3 linked regions of the Arabidopsis thaliana genome follow. The protein of the gene in region 1 purifies or fractionates together with the protein of each later gene. This does not show direct contact. Each region holds a gene or a part of one and is shown in the gene's direction. Other genes may lie near its edges.

What was found. The genes of interacting proteins can lie anywhere in the genome.
Region 2: the proteins of SHM2 (region 1) and CRB fractionate together in Arabidopsis thaliana (co-fractionation; one large-scale study listed by BioGRID). This does not show direct contact.
Region 3: the proteins of SHM2 (region 1) and AT1G24360 fractionate together in Arabidopsis thaliana (co-fractionation; one large-scale study listed by BioGRID). This does not show direct contact.

What each region holds. Positions count from the first base shown.
Region 1 is NC_003076.8:9,416,464-9,422,682, forward strand, and holds SHM2 (serine hydroxymethyltransferase 2), read left to right. Parts: upstream 1-1,731; 5' UTR 1,732-1,835; coding exon 1,836-1,922; intron 1,923-2,001; coding exon 2,002-2,052; intron 2,053-2,140; coding exon 2,141-2,227; intron 2,228-2,318; coding exon 2,319-2,440; intron 2,441-2,520; coding exon 2,521-2,597; intron 2,598-2,690; coding exon 2,691-2,815; intron 2,816-2,931; coding exon 2,932-3,024; intron 3,025-3,196; coding exon 3,197-3,289; intron 3,290-3,370; coding exon 3,371-3,568; intron 3,569-3,658; coding exon 3,659-3,763; intron 3,764-3,917; coding exon 3,918-3,983; intron 3,984-4,065; coding exon 4,066-4,191; intron 4,192-4,519; coding exon 4,520-4,631; intron 4,632-4,918; coding exon 4,919-5,029; intron 5,030-5,113; coding exon 5,114-5,262; 3' UTR 5,263-5,310; exon of another isoform or gene 5,311-5,398; 3' UTR 5,399-5,688; downstream 5,689-6,219. UniProt on the Arabidopsis thaliana protein: Functions outside the photorespiratory pathway in catalyzing the interconversion of serine and glycine with the conversion of tetrahydrofolate (THF) into 5,10-methylene-THF.
Region 2 is NC_003070.9:3,013,288-3,018,909, forward strand, and holds CRB (chloroplast RNA binding protein), read left to right. Parts: upstream 1-1,949; 5' UTR 1,950-2,185; coding exon of another isoform or gene 2,186-2,287; 5' UTR 2,288-2,518; coding exon 2,519-2,623; intron 2,624-2,747; coding exon 2,748-2,882; intron 2,883-2,960; coding exon 2,961-3,047; intron 3,048-3,170; coding exon 3,171-3,261; intron 3,262-3,372; coding exon 3,373-3,427; intron 3,428-3,528; coding exon 3,529-3,589; intron 3,590-3,757; coding exon 3,758-3,979; intron 3,980-4,120; coding exon 4,121-4,237; intron 4,238-4,389; coding exon 4,390-4,479; intron 4,480-4,571; coding exon 4,572-4,748; 3' UTR 4,749-5,051; downstream 5,052-5,622. Other genes in the region: AT1G09330 (golgi apparatus membrane protein-like protein ECHIDNA protein), read right to left, coding at 1-85, 757-816, 938-1,141, 1,231-1,293, 1,599-1,616. UniProt on the Arabidopsis thaliana protein: Binds and cleaves RNA, particularly in stem-loops. Associates with pre-ribosomal particles in chloroplasts, and participates in chloroplast ribosomal RNA metabolism, probably during the final steps of 23S rRNA maturation.
Region 3 is NC_003070.9:8,638,850-8,644,074, forward strand, and holds AT1G24360 (NAD(P)-binding Rossmann-fold superfamily protein), read left to right. Parts: upstream 1-1,732; 5' UTR 1,733-1,970; coding exon 1,971-2,133; intron 2,134-2,219; coding exon 2,220-2,362; intron 2,363-2,601; coding exon 2,602-2,655; intron 2,656-3,095; coding exon 3,096-3,176; intron 3,177-3,256; coding exon 3,257-3,302; intron 3,303-3,370; coding exon 3,371-3,465; intron 3,466-3,540; coding exon 3,541-3,573; intron 3,574-3,776; coding exon 3,777-3,911; intron 3,912-4,007; coding exon 4,008-4,101; intron 4,102-4,227; coding exon 4,228-4,310; intron 4,311-4,401; coding exon 4,402-4,434; 3' UTR 4,435-4,654; downstream 4,655-5,225. Other genes in the region: EMB2421 (FAD/NAD(P)-binding oxidoreductase family protein), read left to right, coding at 1-17; AT1G24350 (Acid phosphatase/vanadium-dependent haloperoxidase-related protein), read right to left, coding at 249-323, 520-573, 657-749, 888-938, 1,025-1,181, 1,334-1,464.

The sequences.
Region 1 (6,219 bases):
TCCTGAGGATGGATAGCGCAAACCAGAATGGGGTTACAAGAAATGTAATTATGATGCAAGCTACAAACAAAATGGGGTAGAGGTGAATGTAGGCTGGATATTGCGAGATGAAGAAGGTTACTACAATGAAGCTTCCCACAACAAAGCTCAGACGTGCAGTACAATTCTAGAAGCTGAATTACAAGCATTACTCATGGCGATGCAACACATGTGGATAAAAGGGCACCGGAAAATAATATTTGAAAGCGATAACAGTCAAATCCCAAAACTTCTCAAAAGTGAAATAAACAACTTCGGTCTTCATAATCTTATACAGGAAATAAGAGTATGGCAACAGAAGTACACGAGCGTGAAGATACAATGGACTGCGAGATCAAGCAATAAGGCAACGGATTGTCTAGCGAGAACTCGGAGACCCAATGATCTTTCATTTGTCAATTACTTCCATGTACCAAACTTTCTTGTAGACATCCTTCACGAGGATTACACTTCATCTATCTAATAAAAGAAGTTGCTGTTAAAAAAAAAAAGTTAGAGATAGGTAAAGTGAATTTCATATTTTTTGGATAGTATTTTTGAATTGCTTCATTTTCGAGATTAACAAGCTTCTTCTTTTTTTAACAACCCCAGAGTTTCATCAACTTTCAAGCAACAGAAACACATGATTAAAAAATTAATAACATCAAATAAAGCATATTTTAAAAATTAAACTTTTCATCATATAGATTCTTAGAATGTGATTGTGGAGCCACGTTGGATCTCCAGGGTTAGATATAAATGAAACTGTCTATGCCGTGTGACAGCCCTTGCAACTATTCAATTCAAAGTTGACCATACATGAAACTATTTCAAGCAAACGACGCCCAACATCAAGTATTCAAGTTGTTGATATTGTCTAAAAGATTCACCATATATAAAAGCCAACTTCATGGAATCGAAATTGTAGCGGTACAACAGTTACTAGATCACCACTTTATGACAAGCACACTCTTGACATATTAATCAAACTTGGCCAAGATGATCCCGAGCTAACCACACACCACCCACACATCTAATATTTGACTGTTCATGCCACACTTATATTGACCTTGAGAAAAATGAAGAGTATATCGACTCGGTTAACAAAACTTCAACAAGACAATTTCTTATAAAAAAATAATCATAGACTGATAAATTTCTCAAAACACTTTTCAATTTAAACAATTTCATAATATGTGTATGTTGACATTTCTAATACATGAATAGATTGATGCTCATTGAACTTTATTGAAATGTAAAGAAGAGATAAATGTGAAAGATTTTATGTTGTCTTCAAGAACAAAATAAGTTTCAATTATGTTTTATAAAATGTTGAATGTGGCTGTTCAAAAAAGTAGCCTTGATTACATTAATCAAAGTCTTACACAATATAACATAAGCTTACACGGACTTCTCTAATGAATAATGATTATAACTTGGGTTTAGGATCCTCTTTTCCACCTAGAGGCTTTTATATTGTTCTACAATTTAATTTTTTTTAAAAAAAAAAAAAACAGGAGCAAAATAAGATAGTGTGTATGTAACATAATTTATTGTTGTTGTAAGACATTACAAATAAAAAAAATATGATTGCATTGAAGAAAACAATATCAAATGACAAATACATAGAAACAAAATAATAATTAAGTAAGGCACCGAGAGTAGAAATTAAAAAAAGCTTATAAAACAAAGGAATCTCGGTCACCTCTCACCAACTCCAATGCTCACTTATACAGAAGCTGAGAAGCAGAACCGCTTTTATATAATCGCACTCACTCAGAGAAACAGAGAAGACGATAGATAGAGAAAAAAAAAAAATGGCGTTGGCTCTTCGTAGACTCTCCTCTTCCGTTAAGAAACCGATCTCGCTTCTCTCCTCTAATGGCGGTTCACTCCGTTTCATGGTAAAATCCTATCACAGTCAGATTCATTCACGTTTTATCCTTCGTTTGATTCTGATCCGTTTTTGACTCTTATACACAGTCGTCTTTATCAACCGCAGCTATGGCGGAATCGGAGAAATCTCGTTCTAGTGTAAGCTCATCAATTAGATCAGATGCGTCATAATATATAATCTAACGAATGGCTTATTTCGATTTAAACTTTTCTGTTTCTTTATCAGTGGATTAAGCAATTGAATGCATCTCTAGATGAAATCGATCCTGAAGTTGCGGATATTATCGAATTAGAGAAGGCTAGACAATGGAAGGTATCAACAAAATTTAGTGAGAATGATCAAATTCACATATATAGAAGCTTTGATTTATTGATTTGGGGGATGATGTTACGAGTTTTTTCAGGGATTTGAACTTATACCGTCAGAGAATTTCACTTCTCTATCTGTGATGCAAGCCGTTGGTTCTGTTATGACTAATAAGTATAGTGAAGGATACCCTGGAGCTAGATACTATGGAGGAAATGAGTATGTATTTGTTATACTTACAATGGTTTACTTTGTTGTTAGTATATGATGCTTAAGGTTGTTTGCATCTTATTGACTAGGTACATTGACATGGCTGAGACATTATGTCAAAAACGCGCATTAGAAGCTTTTCAGTTAGATCCTTCTAAATGGGGAGGTGTGCTAATTACATACTTTCGTTGTGAATTGTGATTAAAGAAATCCTACTAGAAACCAAATTTACTAATGGAGACACTTGTTCATTTTGTAGTCAATGTGCAGTCTTTATCAGGATCACCAGCTAATTTCCAAGTTTACACTGCATTGTTGAAGCCTCATGAAAGAATCATGGCACTTGATTTACCTCATGGTGGACATCTTTCTCATGGTTATCAGGTACTTGGGTTCTAGTCTCTCTAGCTTGGTCAGTCAGTATTTGACTTTCTTTTCTCATCTCTTTGTGGAATTGATATTGTATCTTTTCCTCATTTCTTTTATTTGCTCTTGTGCAGACTGACACGAAGAAAATATCGGCTGTATCCATCTTTTTTGAGACAATGCCATACAGATTGGATGAGAACACTGGTTACATTGATTATGACCAGGTTGGTTAGTTCATAGCCAGCTTAGCTTAATGCTTCAACATTCTATCTTTATCCAATATACCATTGAGATATGGGTTTAATACATACAAGCTTTTCGTTTACGGTTCTTATGTTAAGTAATTGAACAGTTTTTAAACCAAAGTTTATTTATTTGTGATACAATAATTTGCAGCTAGAAAAGAGTGCCGTGCTTTTCAGACCGAAACTTATTGTTGCGGGTGCAAGTGCTTATGCTCGTCTATATGACTATGCACGTATTCGTAAGGTAAAGTATTGTCTCAACTCTTGAGTGTGAAGTTTAGTTACAAAAGTTGCAGTTTTCAAGGTTATGCATAAAAAATTGCAGGTCTGTAACAAGCAAAAGGCAGTTATGTTGGCTGATATGGCTCATATTAGTGGGTTGGTTGCTGCTGGCGTTATTCCTTCTCCTTTTGAGTATGCAGATGTTGTTACGACTACAACTCACAAATCGCTTCGCGGTCCTAGAGGGGCTATGATATTCTTTAGGAAGGGGTTAAAAGAGATTAACAAACAAGGGAAAGAGGTGAATTTTTCGTTTCTATATTGTATATGAATGAGTAAATAACTTCCAGTTACTGACTAATTTTATGTCGTTTGTAACTTTACCTGATAGGTCATGTATGACTATGAGGACAGAATTAATCAAGCTGTTTTTCCTGGACTGCAAGGTGGTCCACATAATCACACTATAACGGGTCTAGCAGTTGCTCTGAAGCAGGTTCAGTCATCAAACTTTTATTGAAACTGTGTTCCATTGTCTAATGTGTTCGCATGATCTCCTTTCACTTTCTGATTAAGGTCTACTCTAGGATTCTCTTGGTCTTGTAACTCTTGTTCATGATCTTTTGACTTATCGATTTGTTCTATTATAGGCAAGAACTCCTGAGTACAAGGCCTACCAGGATCAAGTTCTCCGTAATTGCTCAAAGTTTGCTGAGGTGCGTTGTGTTTGCTGATTGTCGTATTTTTACTTGAGTAATTAGTTGATATGCCTTAGATATCTTGTCATGTTTGGAACAGTTGGATATAAGACCTACTGTAATCATCTCATATGGCTTGTCAATGCAGACTTTGCTTGCGAAAGGATATGATTTAGTGTCTGGAGGCACTGATAATCATTTAGTTTTGGTGAATCTGAAAAACAAGGTACTTCTCATTCTATCTTTAATTGCTCAAACCCTTTGATATCTAGATGGAAATGTTTGCTTTAAATGTACGAGTTTGCATATGAAAGGACTGAATCTCATCGGTATTAGAGAATCTTAACTCTTGAAATATGATAAAACTAAAAACAATGATGATTTTTTTCCCATATATGTTGTGTGGTTTCAATTTTTACTAACGACATACTGACCAGATGGAGCTAATCAAGTGTAAAATGTTTAATTTTTGTACTGTTAACCTTAGTAGGAAGTGCTTAGAATAGCTAATTTACTCTTGTAAAATATTTGATGTTGGAAAATGGGTTTTGCAGGGAATAGATGGATCAAGAGTGGAAAAAGTATTAGAATTAGTACATATTGCAGCAAACAAGAATACTGTTCCTGGTGATGTTTCTGCCATGGTTCCCGGTGGCATCCGTATGGGTAAGGCTCTTATAAAAACTCTGAAAGAAGTAATGTGTTAGTATGTCGAAAGAGTAGTAAACATTCATACGTCTGCTATTTACCACCATTAATGTTATTTTTGAACAAAAAAGAACACTGAAACAAGTAAAGTGTTAGTATGTCGAAAAGTGCTAAATGTTCATGCTTCTTGCAATCTACTACTTATGAAAAAGGACTTCTATGCTAATTCATAGAGACCTGTTGATCACCAAGAAAATCGTGTATGTTCCGATTTGTTCTTATGATGGATGATGGTATGGTTACAGGAACACCAGCCCTCACATCAAGAGGATTCATTGAGGAAGATTTTGCAAAAGTGGCGGAGTATTTTGATTTAGCCGTCAAGATAGCCTTAAAGATCAAAGCAGAGTCTCAAGGTATATATAAAAAGTCTTTTGGTTCGGTTTACTTTTTCTGTGTCATGCTTGGGATTGTATTGATGTATCTATAATGTACTGCAGGAACAAAGTTGAAAGACTTTGTAGCAACAATGCAATCAAATGAGAAATTACAGTCAGAGATGTCAAAGCTCCGTGAGATGGTAGAAGAATATGCTAAGCAATTCCCAACGATTGGGTTCGAGAAAGAGACGATGAGATACAAAGAGTAGTTTTCATCGTGTGGATTGACACGTTTCCACATCTCTGAGATGCTTTAGGTACCTAAAACACTTAATTATACATAAGCTTCTTCTATGAAATATTTTGGAGGGACTCATTATGGGGCGATTGTGCAACCGTTTGCAGTGATCATGGACCAGAGGCGCAACCGATGGTCTGAAGTATCGCTGAAACTAAAGTTGAACTAAAAAAATCGCACTCCAATGTTGTCTCTTACCCTTTCCTTTTGTCTCTCAAATTTTATCTTTGCTTCCTTAAGTTGGTTCCTCAAAATTCAAAATTTGTAATGCAACTGGTTTAAGGTTGCTATGATGGATAATGGCAACTAAAGTTATAGGATAAACGATGCAGCTTTGATAATTGATATTGTAAACAGAAGTGTTTCTGAAATAAGATGTCTCGTGCTTTTTCACATAAACAATGCTACTTTGTAATTAAGCATGCTTCAAGAATGGCCTAAATGTGAAATTTGAGGTACAATAAAGAAAAAAACTGTCCAAAGTTCAATAAAACAAATTAGAGGTTTTTGTTGTCGTTTTTTGAAAAGATTGAGGTTTGTTTTACAGTTTTTCGAGGTTAAACTCGCATTTGTATTGTTCTCATTAAAAAACGACTATTAATATTATTTTATTTTAAAAAAAATTTAACTTGCTTTAAAATACTTCAACAAAAAAAAAACATATGTTTTTTTTAGAGCTAACCAACCTCAAGTTTGATTTTTTCATTCTGTTGCGAATAGAGACATACAGTTCAACTGTGAATAGAGTACGGTGCGGTTCAAATAAGAACAAAAATATATACATACACATATATGTAGAGATTTTAGTTACTATTGAAACCGCAACGCATTGTTTGGTTCACCGCACCGGACTGCGGAATTTGTGATTTGTTCGGAAAAAATTACGGCTTGTCGTTTTTTCAAATGATTGAGGTTTGGTGTACAATAT
Region 2 (5,622 bases), on another chromosome or scaffold:
GGGACAAGCAAACGCCAACAACAAGCAGATAGTCAGCTTGAAATCTAATCAGAGAAAATACCCCAAGGATAAACCATGCAGCTGCCTGAAGAGTGAAAAAAGGAGAAGATTTAGCTGTGAAGACAACAGAAAAAGACAGCAAACAAATCCACATGTTTTTAATGTTTACTACGCTCCAGTACCATAGACATCAAATCCATAGCTACCATCTCATGGCTACATCTCACTCTTTATAGTCGCTTGTAAGGTAACTGAGCATATAAGTTTGTAAGCTACCAAGTTTTAACTAATATTATACTTAGTCAGTGTAAGATCATAGGATATACTCCAAATGGCCGACTTGGTTCCAGCAGATAATCTTTCCCTACTCAACATATATTGTAATGTGACTTCGCATGTGATTTGACTCCAATGTCAAATGCTATATCCCACTCATGCAGAGGGAAAAACCATTTGTCGCAAACTTCTTTAACTGGTAGCTTCTTGGGGGAAGATATTCAGGTGTCTAGCGATCTATATATGGGTCTACATGGGATTCTAAAAGACTGCTCTCAATTCTTATCTACCACCTTTGCACAATATGCTTCAATATAAGGGACATGTTTATTCTTGCCTATTCTTATTCCACTATAAGGGACATGTTTATCCTTGCCTATTCTTATTCCTAGTCATCCACTAAAGTTCCACAATGATTGTGAATGGGTTTTAAGTAATTAGCTTATGCTGCAACTGAAGTGTTAGATATGAAATACTTACTGCAAGGTAAAGTGTCCACCAGAAAAGCCATGAGTCTTTCTTGTTCATCCGAGCCAAAGACTGTATAGAAAAATGATGAAAACACATGAGTATACAAAAAAAAAACGGAAAGGGAAACACAACCCCACATTTCTCGACAGGCTGAACCCATATCCTTGTGAATAAGTGAAGAAAAGCTAACCTCCTGATCAAGAGACTCGAATTTCCAGACACTTTCTCCCAAGTCATTGATCTCGTTCCACCACCTGAGACCAACCAGTATACGCCCACTGACATTCTTAACCACCCAGAAGTCAAGAGCAGCAAGAAGAACAGTGACTACAAAGATGATGACAAAGCTGTTGAAGAAGAGAGCAGAGAGAATGTAAAACGCCAACGCAGCACCCTGGTCCAAGAACAAATACAAACTGGTTTAACATTTGTCCAATGTCTAACATTTCCTTTGACTAAACTGATTTATACTCTAAATCATACCTTGAAGAGAACATGGAAAAGACATGTCCTTGGGTTTGCATAATTTTCAACTGGTGCCTGTATCTAAGAAAGCATAAAGTTTTGGTAAGATTAGCTGTAGCAATTTTACATTGTAATAACCATTACGATGCTACCCAAAAGAGTACATAAAGATTATTATCCGCCAACACATCCTCTAACCTAGCAATGTTTATTTAGCTCAAATGCATAATTTCTACGGATTATCGGAGACCAAAACGTCGAAACACAGATCTGACACAATAACATCTAGATCGAACAACTAGATACAGGTTAATCAAGAATCTGATATGCAATCGAACTCAGAAATTAAGTCAGAACAAAATGAGAGGAAGCAGCTGAAAATTCACCTGATTATTAGGGTCCATCTTTCGAAGAATCCAAAAGGATCAATCCGAGAAAAAGAAGAAGTAATCTGCTGATCAGCAGAAACGAAACACCTTCTCCGTTGTGGAAAGTATCGATCTTCCCTCTGAATTTTCCCGAGAAAAAATTTCTGTATCAGATCTTCAAAACTCTTGCGCGTGTCTGCTACGTGATTTCTTCTATTTTTGATAATTTCTTTCAAATGTGTTTTTTAATTCTCAACGAGCCCGATAACTCTTCTCTGGCCCAATAATATTTAAAGAAGTTAGGCCCAATTATTCAAAAAAAATGGTAATTACGATTTCACCACAAAAACTTGTGTTTCGATCAAAATTATCCACTATCCACAACAAGGCAAAAGAAGAGTTAAGAAAGAAGAGGACGACAATGGCTGTAAATATGTGACCATGAAATGGCGAGAGGCTGAGATAATTGTCTTATCCCTTCAAAATTTAAGACTTTTAATGATCGGAAGGAACAAGATGACGAGGTCCCACGAACCACCATACACACTTCAATTTCAAATAAGAGCTTTTCTTCAGTTGTTGCTCAGAGACTTAACCAATCAACCATGGCGAAGATGATGATGTTGCAACAGCATCAGCCTTCTTTCTCTCTCCTTACTTCTTCTCTGTCTGACTTCAATGGCGCTAAGCTCCATTTACAAGTCCAGGTCTTTTTCATCCTTCGTTCTGACGACTATCATTATCAATTTTATCAGATGGGTTCTGCTTTTGTGTGTCTGATGAGCCAAAATCCGTTCAGCACATTTCAAAACTATTCCTTTTAAAATGGGTTTAAGCTTGTTTGTTCGACTTCTTGAGCTATGGATCATTGTGTCTATATTAATGAATGTGTGTCTAAAGTCTTAGTGTGGTTCTTGTTTCAGCTCTGATTTTGTATTATGAGTAAAGAGTTTTATGAGCTTCTTCGTCATAATTGTGAGAGTTTCTGGTTTGTGGTTTGGCTCTGGTTTGAGTTGTCTGAATACCCCCCTCATTTGTGTCAAGTATGATTTGTTTCTGTGACGCTCTGCCTTCAGATTCTATCACTAGTCTTAGAATTGAAACTACAGTTTGTATTTTGGGGATAAGATTTTTCTTATAGAGTTGGCTTTGTTGTTAAAATTGCAGTACAAGAGGAAGGTTCATCAGCCAAAAGGAGCACTCTATGTTTCAGCGTCGAGCGAAAAGAAGATTCTGATAATGGGTGGTACTCGATTCATTGGTCTGTTCTTGTCCAGGATCCTTGTCAAAGAGGGACATCAGGTTCCACTACCGATCAAACTCTCTTTTCAGCTAAAAATTTAGTTTCCGTTTCTGAGTGACCAATGGTTGCTTTTGCAGGTTACATTGTTCACAAGGGGTAAATCTCCTATTGCCAAACAATTGCCCGGTGAATCTGACCAAGACTTTGCTGATTTCTCTTCTAAGGTATTACATGAATCCTTGTAAAAAACTAGTATGCACACTCAAATATAATATACATTTCAGATGATAGGAACTTGGATGATTAGGATTCCAATAAAATAAATGATTTTTCTCGGCCTTTTCTAGATTCTTCACTTGAAAGGAGACAGAAAGGACTATGACTTTGTGAAGTCAAGTCTTTCAGCAGAAGGCTTCGATGTTGTTTATGATATCAACGGTAACAGCTAATCACTTTGTTCTTACTGTAAATTCAAGAATATCTAGTCTTTTGCCTTTGACAACAAAGATTTTAAGATTTCGTATAATTTATGCTCTCTTTTTTTCTCAGGGAGGGAGGCCGAAGAAGTTGAGCCCATACTAGAAGCACTACCCAAACTAGAGCAGTAAGTAATACATAACATCTATCAAGGCCTAGCTTGTTCATTTGGTTTATAGCTTTCAAAACATAGCCCTTCAAAATTTAAATCTTCCGTTAATGTTATAGGTACATCTACTGTTCTTCAGCTGGTGTTTATCTGAAATCTGATATCTTGCCACATTGTGAGGTATGTAAAAGATATCTTATTCTTATTCCTGGAAGATATGAGCTTGTACTTTTCTTGAATTAGCCATAGAATAGTATGATTATGTAATTTGATCATATGATGTCACCCAGAAGTTTATTATCTAAGGCCATTTGTAATAACTTTTTATTTGGGACATAACTGATGCAGGAGGATGCAGTTGATCCGAAGAGCAGGCACAAGGGGAAGCTGGAGACTGAGAGCTTACTGCAATCAAAAGGTGTAAACTGGACTTCTATACGTCCTGTCTACATCTACGGTCCATTGAATTACAACCCCGTCGAAGAATGGTTTTTCCACCGTCTAAAGGCAGGTCGCCCAATCCCGGTTCCAAACTCTGGGATACAGATCTCACAACTCGGTCACGTTAAGGTCAGTCACACTTTCTCTAATTCTTGAGCTTCCTTTCATGTTCAGAAAACTCATTGTTATAGGGACCCACTGACTGAAACTCAGCTCTGATCAATCTTGAAGAGTATTGATCAATAACATCAAATCATTCTGTAATTTCAGGACTTGGCAACAGCCTTTCTCAACGTGCTTGGTAACGAGAAAGCCAGCAGAGAGATATTCAACATCTCGGGGGAGAAATATGTTACCTTTGATGGGTTAGCAAAAGCTTGCGCAAAGGTACATTCTTTTCTATTGGCTTTATTGTTGTCTCATCAATCCAAATCGTTTCAAGTACATCCTGGTGTGGTCCGTTTGTAATAGATATCATACTCTGAGCTTTTTGGATCATTGCTTGAGTAAACTTATTCATGTTTTCAACTCTCTCTCAGGCCGGTGGGTTTCCGGAGCCAGAGATTGTTCATTACAACCCGAAAGAGTTCGACTTTGGGAAGAAGAAGGCATTCCCTTTCCGTGATCAGGTAAAAACCACAACGTTCTAATGATCGAGGCTGCAACATGAACGATTCCAATTTAGAAGTTGAGATTTTGATATATGTATATTCTCTTGCAGCATTTCTTTGCATCGGTGGAGAAAGCAAAGCATGTCCTCGGATGGAAACCGGAGTTCGACTTAGTGGAGGGTCTCACTGACTCATACAACCTTGATTTCGGTCGCGGAACATTCCGGAAAGAAGCGGATTTCACCACTGACGACATGATTCTGAGCAAGAAACTTGTTCTTCAATAATCGAAATCCTAAGAGTTGCTCATTCTTGGCTTGTATGATTCTGATCACCCGGTTCTCTTAAAGTTCTGAACTTTATTGTCATCTCACGTATGTTATGGTCCGGATTTTGTTCGACTTTTCTCTAAAGAAGTCAAGCTAGGGACGATGAAGAAACCGAGAAAGTAAGTACACGAGAAAGAGACGGTCTGGCTCTTGACTTAGGAACTTAGGAATTTTGGTATCAATTCGATATCCTCTTTCTAAATCTGAACCGAACCAAAATTACAACCATACCGACTACCGAGCTAATTAAACTTTAGTTTTAAATGCGGGCCCCTTTGTATCATATAGCCCATTAACCGATCGAACCGAACCAAAAAATCGAATTCGCACGACTAAATACAGATTTGACCCGTGCTTGGTTATGCCCGCTACATACCGGTCAAATAAAAACTCATTTGGGCTCCAATATTTAAATTTAGAAGCCCAACTCGTAATTGAAAAGTCCAACTTGTGAATATTATTAGTTTTTTTTTTTTTTTTTCATCAAATATTAATAGTTTATAGAGACATATTTCATTGGTTGTAATTTACTTATCTTTTGGCCTATTTTTAGTGAAAAAAATGATTAGTTGATTTTTTAAACGTCTGAAACTTGTATTAGTGATTAATTGAAAATAAAAGAAAAGAAATGTAAATTCTATTACTCTATTGGTTATCTAAATGTAAATGAGTCATTCTCCGGAATTTTGTTTTATGTTTTTTTTCTCTCGACTCTTGTTGGATCATTTAGTTCTCACTGCAAGTCTTAATCTTGTGGATAGAAGAATCTTACAAAATTCTTGTGAAATTTAGATTCCAAAGAATATACTACGAAAAAAGATTTAGTCTTCTT
Region 3 (5,225 bases), on another chromosome or scaffold:
TACTAGGGAAACAATGATGAACATCACAATTTTATTCCACAAATTCCTTTGTATACTACTTATTTTCAAATAAAATCACGTTATTTTTGTAATGGTGTTTCACGATTTCTTTACATATGGTAATGGTAATGTTAAACAAGAATAAATATATTTTTAACTCGGATTCGGTTGTAAATCTGTTTTGGTACTCTCCAGTGGCTTCAATAGGCAATGAAGCAGAAGAGTTGTGTCTATGCATGTTCTTGACGTTAGCTTGTAGCTATCCTGAAAAATAAGTATCCGGTGACTGCTGTAGCACTTCCAAGCATTCCACCAGCAACGACCTGAATTCTCAGCAAATGGAAAACAGAATCTGATGAGAACTAGAAATTCATTGATATCAACACGGTTACAAATCAAAGAGTAGTTCATTTATCAACCAAAGTAAACACAAACTAGGGTCTGTTCTAGAGTTCCATCAGCTCACACAAGCCTCCAAAAGACCCTCAACTCTGTTCCCAATTACACGATCCCCCTCACCGATTCCTTCAGCACTCTATTTGTACTCATGATTTCCCCTAACTCTGTAACTATCTTGCTAAATGTAACAGCTAAAAGAATCTCATATCTTGCTAGTCATATATGAAAAGACTTTTTCAAGTCATATGTCTACATACCTGGGGAGGGGTATGACCAAGAAGTTCCCGCAAAGGTCTGCTTTCAGCCAGCGGATGTTCTGCAGGAAGTTCATATACAATCTGATTGAGAACCTGAAAAATGAATCAGACCCCAGAGATCAGGATACCAGAGCTCAAATGCATCATGACAAAACCAATAGTGGTTCTTTTATCAAACCAGTCAAGTTAGAAGATGAAACAAAGGAAAGGTTAGAGCAGCAATGAACAAACCTCAGCTTGACGACCAGCATGTAATCTAACACCGGTAGCATCATACATCACCTACCAACCCAAACCACTCACATATTAATCGTCACTTGATTCCTTAATAGCCAATTTGATTAAACTAGAGAAAGTATCCAACTTACAACAGATGCCAAAATCAAAGCAATGGCAAAATGTGATCCACCAAAGCCTTCTTGTAAACCAATAGCTACAGCGAGAGCTGTAACGGTCGCTGAATGCGAAGAAGGCATTCCTCCAGACCCAATAAGCTGTTTGAGATCCCATCTCCGTTCCCTATACCTACAGAATCTAGGAAACCATGTAAAGATCCTTTCTCATCTAACGTATACTATAATTTCCTATGTACCGTTTCGAACCAAAGATTGAGGAACCAGGCACATATAGATTTAATCGGAGTCTGATCCAAACAGAGATATAAAGAGAGAACGTACCAGGAGGTGAAGAGTTTGATGAATTGAGCGATAGTGAAAGAGGTGACGGCGGAAATGAGAGGATAATTCGTGAAAATGGAGAAATAATGAGTGGAAGACGAAGACGTAGCCGTGGCTGTAGAATCCTCCATGGCCGATGATGGATCTAGTCAGGCTTTAAATCGTGCTAGCGAAAGAAGAAGAAGAAAATGACACCGAAACGACAATGATCCATAAAACGTCGACTAATTCCCTTTCAAACTCCAATGGCGTCTACGTCTACCGTTCAATCCTCTTTGTCTTTCTTTTTTTTTCTTTGACCAATTTTTTTTTTAAACACTGCTCCACAAAACTATATATTATACAATTACCCGCATCCGAACAAATATGAACCGTATCCGATACAAAACCCGAATACCTAGGTCAGTTCTATTCGTGAAATCGAGTCTCCTCTTATTCGACGACCTGCCCCAACTATAAACATGACTTTTACACACTTGACATAACTTCGTTTGTATCGCTTTTTTGAAATTCTATATATTATTATTGTTTGAGCAGAAACTAAGACAAAATTAAGACTTTTCTCTCTTCTTCTTCTCCACTGGGTCGATCTTTACGAGGTTCACTTGTACGGATTCACTTTAACAACAGATTCGCCATGGCCGCCGCCGTCGCAGCACCGAGACTCATCTCCTTGAAAGCCGTCGCGAAGCTAGGTTTCCGTGAGATCTCTCAAATCCGACAATTGGCTCCGCTTCACTCTGCGATACCTCATTTCGGAATGCTGCGATGTAGATCGCGGCAGCCGTTTTCTACCTCTGGTATATTCATTCCTCTTCTCTCTTCCTTTGCGGTTTTGGCATAGATTTGATCTCTCTCAATTCTCAACATTTTTGTGGTATTACAGTTGTGAAAGCTCAAGCTACTGCTACTGAGCAATCACCAGGGGAAGTTGTTCAAAAAGTGGAATCTCCAGTGGTCGTTATCACTGGTGCCTCGAGAGGGATTGGTAAAGCAATTGCTCTAGCCTTGGGTAAAGCTGGCTGCAAGGTTAGGCTTAACACTATTCGGAATATTGGAGCGCCTTGTTGTTAGATTTGATCTGTATATGTACTCTTCGAGCATTCAATTTGCATGATATTACTAGTCTTGAGTTATGAAGATTTTAACACAGGATTGCTTTCAATTTCTTTTGTCATTATAGTGATGGAGACATCAATAGGTTTATATCCGTAATTGCTACACATAAATTTTCTGATCTGGAAGCAAACACTCTGTTTCTGTTGCAGGTCTTGGTGAATTATGCTAGGTCAGCAAAAGAGGCTGAAGAAGTTGCTAAACAGGTGATTCATTGCCCTGGATTAGACTGCAATTTACATGATTCATGCACCAAGTATCTAGAATGGTTTTCAGCTCTTTCCTTCTTTTTCTGCTTCGGGATATCGGTTTAGACCAAATAATGCATAGGTGTTTGGTATGGAAGGATGTTGTTGTTGGTACGAAAATAAATGTGGTACCTTTCGAGTTTAACGTTGATAATACCTTTAAACAGTTTTGGTTTCTGGGACAAGAAATGTAGACAAATGAATTTTCTGGACCTGGAAAATGTTTCTTATTGCCCTATGCTTCTCAAATGCGTTTTGTGATTTTGCTCTTGATCCACACTGCCAAATGAAATATTATCTTTTGGCTAACAAATGTCATCTGCAGTTAATAGTGTTTTCGTTTACAATGTCAACTTATTTCATGTAATCTCTGACATTTCTTCTCTGTGCAACTGTAGATTGAAGAATATGGTGGCCAGGCTATCACTTTTGGGGGTGATGTCTCGAAAGCGACTGATGTGGATGCGATGATGAAAACCGTGAGTGATCAACTGTACACCATCTTATATTCCCTAATCCTTATACATCTTTTCATTTTCCTTTTGTTATTTTTCTGCAGGCTCTTGACAAATGGGGAACCATTGATGTTGTGGTTAACAATGCAGGTAAATGAAAACCTTGGTTCCCATTAAGTTTTACTTAGTACCTTACTGACGTGGCTACATATTTTCAGGAATTACTCGGGATACCTTGTTAATACGAATGAAGCAATCACAATGGGACGAAGTGATTGCTTTGAATCTCACTGGTGTATTTCTCTGTACTCAGGTTTGTATTCCTGCAATACTGCTAAAATTTTGATACTCGGATTTTCAGGGACTGATACTCGTTTACTCTCTTTAGGCAGCAGTAAAGATCATGATGAAGAAAAAAAGGGTAACACTTTTTACTTGTCATATGCCATGTCACCGTCTATATCCTCACACGTTTGTCATTGGTTTTGACATGTTACTCCTTCCCTGAAGCATAGGGAGAAATGATATATAAAAAGACAACTACGTTTTTTTTTTTTTGAGCTCTTCTATAAGATTAAGAAGTGATATTATGACAAGCATAATTCATGGTATACTTAATTGCAGGGAAGAATCATCAATATCTCGTCAGTTGTTGGTCTCATTGGTAATATTGGTCAAGCAAACTACGCAGCGGCTAAAGGTGGAGTTATTTCGTTTTCCAAGACTGCTGCCAGAGAAGGTGCGAGCAGGAATATAAATGTATGTGACCTATCTCCCTCATCATATTCGTCTTTTTTTTAAACTTCCTGGACATGATTGTGAAACTTGTTCCGTCTACAATTTGCTCTATTCCAGGTCAATGTGGTTTGCCCCGGATTCATTGCATCTGACATGACTGCAGAGCTTGGAGAAGACATGGAAAAGAAAATCCTGGGAACAATCCCATTAGGTAATGGACATTTCATCTCTTACATTTGTTGCTGGGTAATTTATATGGATAGGATGTATCTGAGACATGAAAAAATTGTTAGATAAAAAAGAATTCTGATACAAAGCAAAACGGTTTGGTTTTCAGGACGGTATGGAAAAGCTGAAGAAGTGGCTGGCTTGGTAGAATTCTTGGCTCTCAGTCCTGCAGCCAGTTACATAACCGGACAGGTTAATATCTCATACTCCTGTCGAATGGTGGTTAACCTTGGTTTCTAATTATGTTAGCGACCTAACCATGGTTGAAAATATTGGTTTGCAGGCATTCACCATTGATGGAGGTATTGCTATCTAGACATTTGGTATGAGTCGGCTTTTGTTTAGTTAAAACAATTTGGTAAAAGAGACAAAGTTGAGTTCTTTTTAGCACTTGGTCGGATTGCTATTTTGCGGTTTCTGTTAAGAAATATGTAACACTTACTGCTTAAACTACGTATTTGGTCACTTTCAGAAACTAGAAATCGATTAATCCAATCTCGCATTCTAAATTTTTTTAGTTATTGATGAAAAGGAAACTAGAACATCTCACTATCCTTACCCTATGTTAAACTATTCAAGCACAAACAAAATTCAAACGCAACTTAGAGTCAAAAAGTAAAATAAAACATTACAGACGCACCAAATAACTTATTGGTTTGATTTGTACGATCTAATCCGCATATGAATGCGGATATTGCCTAGTGACAAGCCAACCCCACTGTATTTCTATGCCTTAAACAGCCTAGGACTAGGAAACAGCTGCCGTTTGAGACATAGGCAAAGCAAAAGTGGGTCACTCTTTTGGCAATCTTAGAGTCTTGCCCACAAGACTGAAGCATCCCCGCTGCTCATCGAAGGCTCTTCTGACTATAGCTACGCGATCAACATCCTTACCAACTCGAGCCTCGCACGAGTCCTTGTACTGTATGTAGACAATTGCAAAATATGTGCGGTTGAATACCAAATCCACATCTTGGGGAGTAGTATCTATAGCCACTTGGATAATCTTCAAGTTGGACAGGTCATCAAGATCCCTAATGGTGCCCCTATTAGTGGTGGCAACTGCAAGTTCCAAGTAGAGACGAATCCAGTCATTGTCTTCTTGCA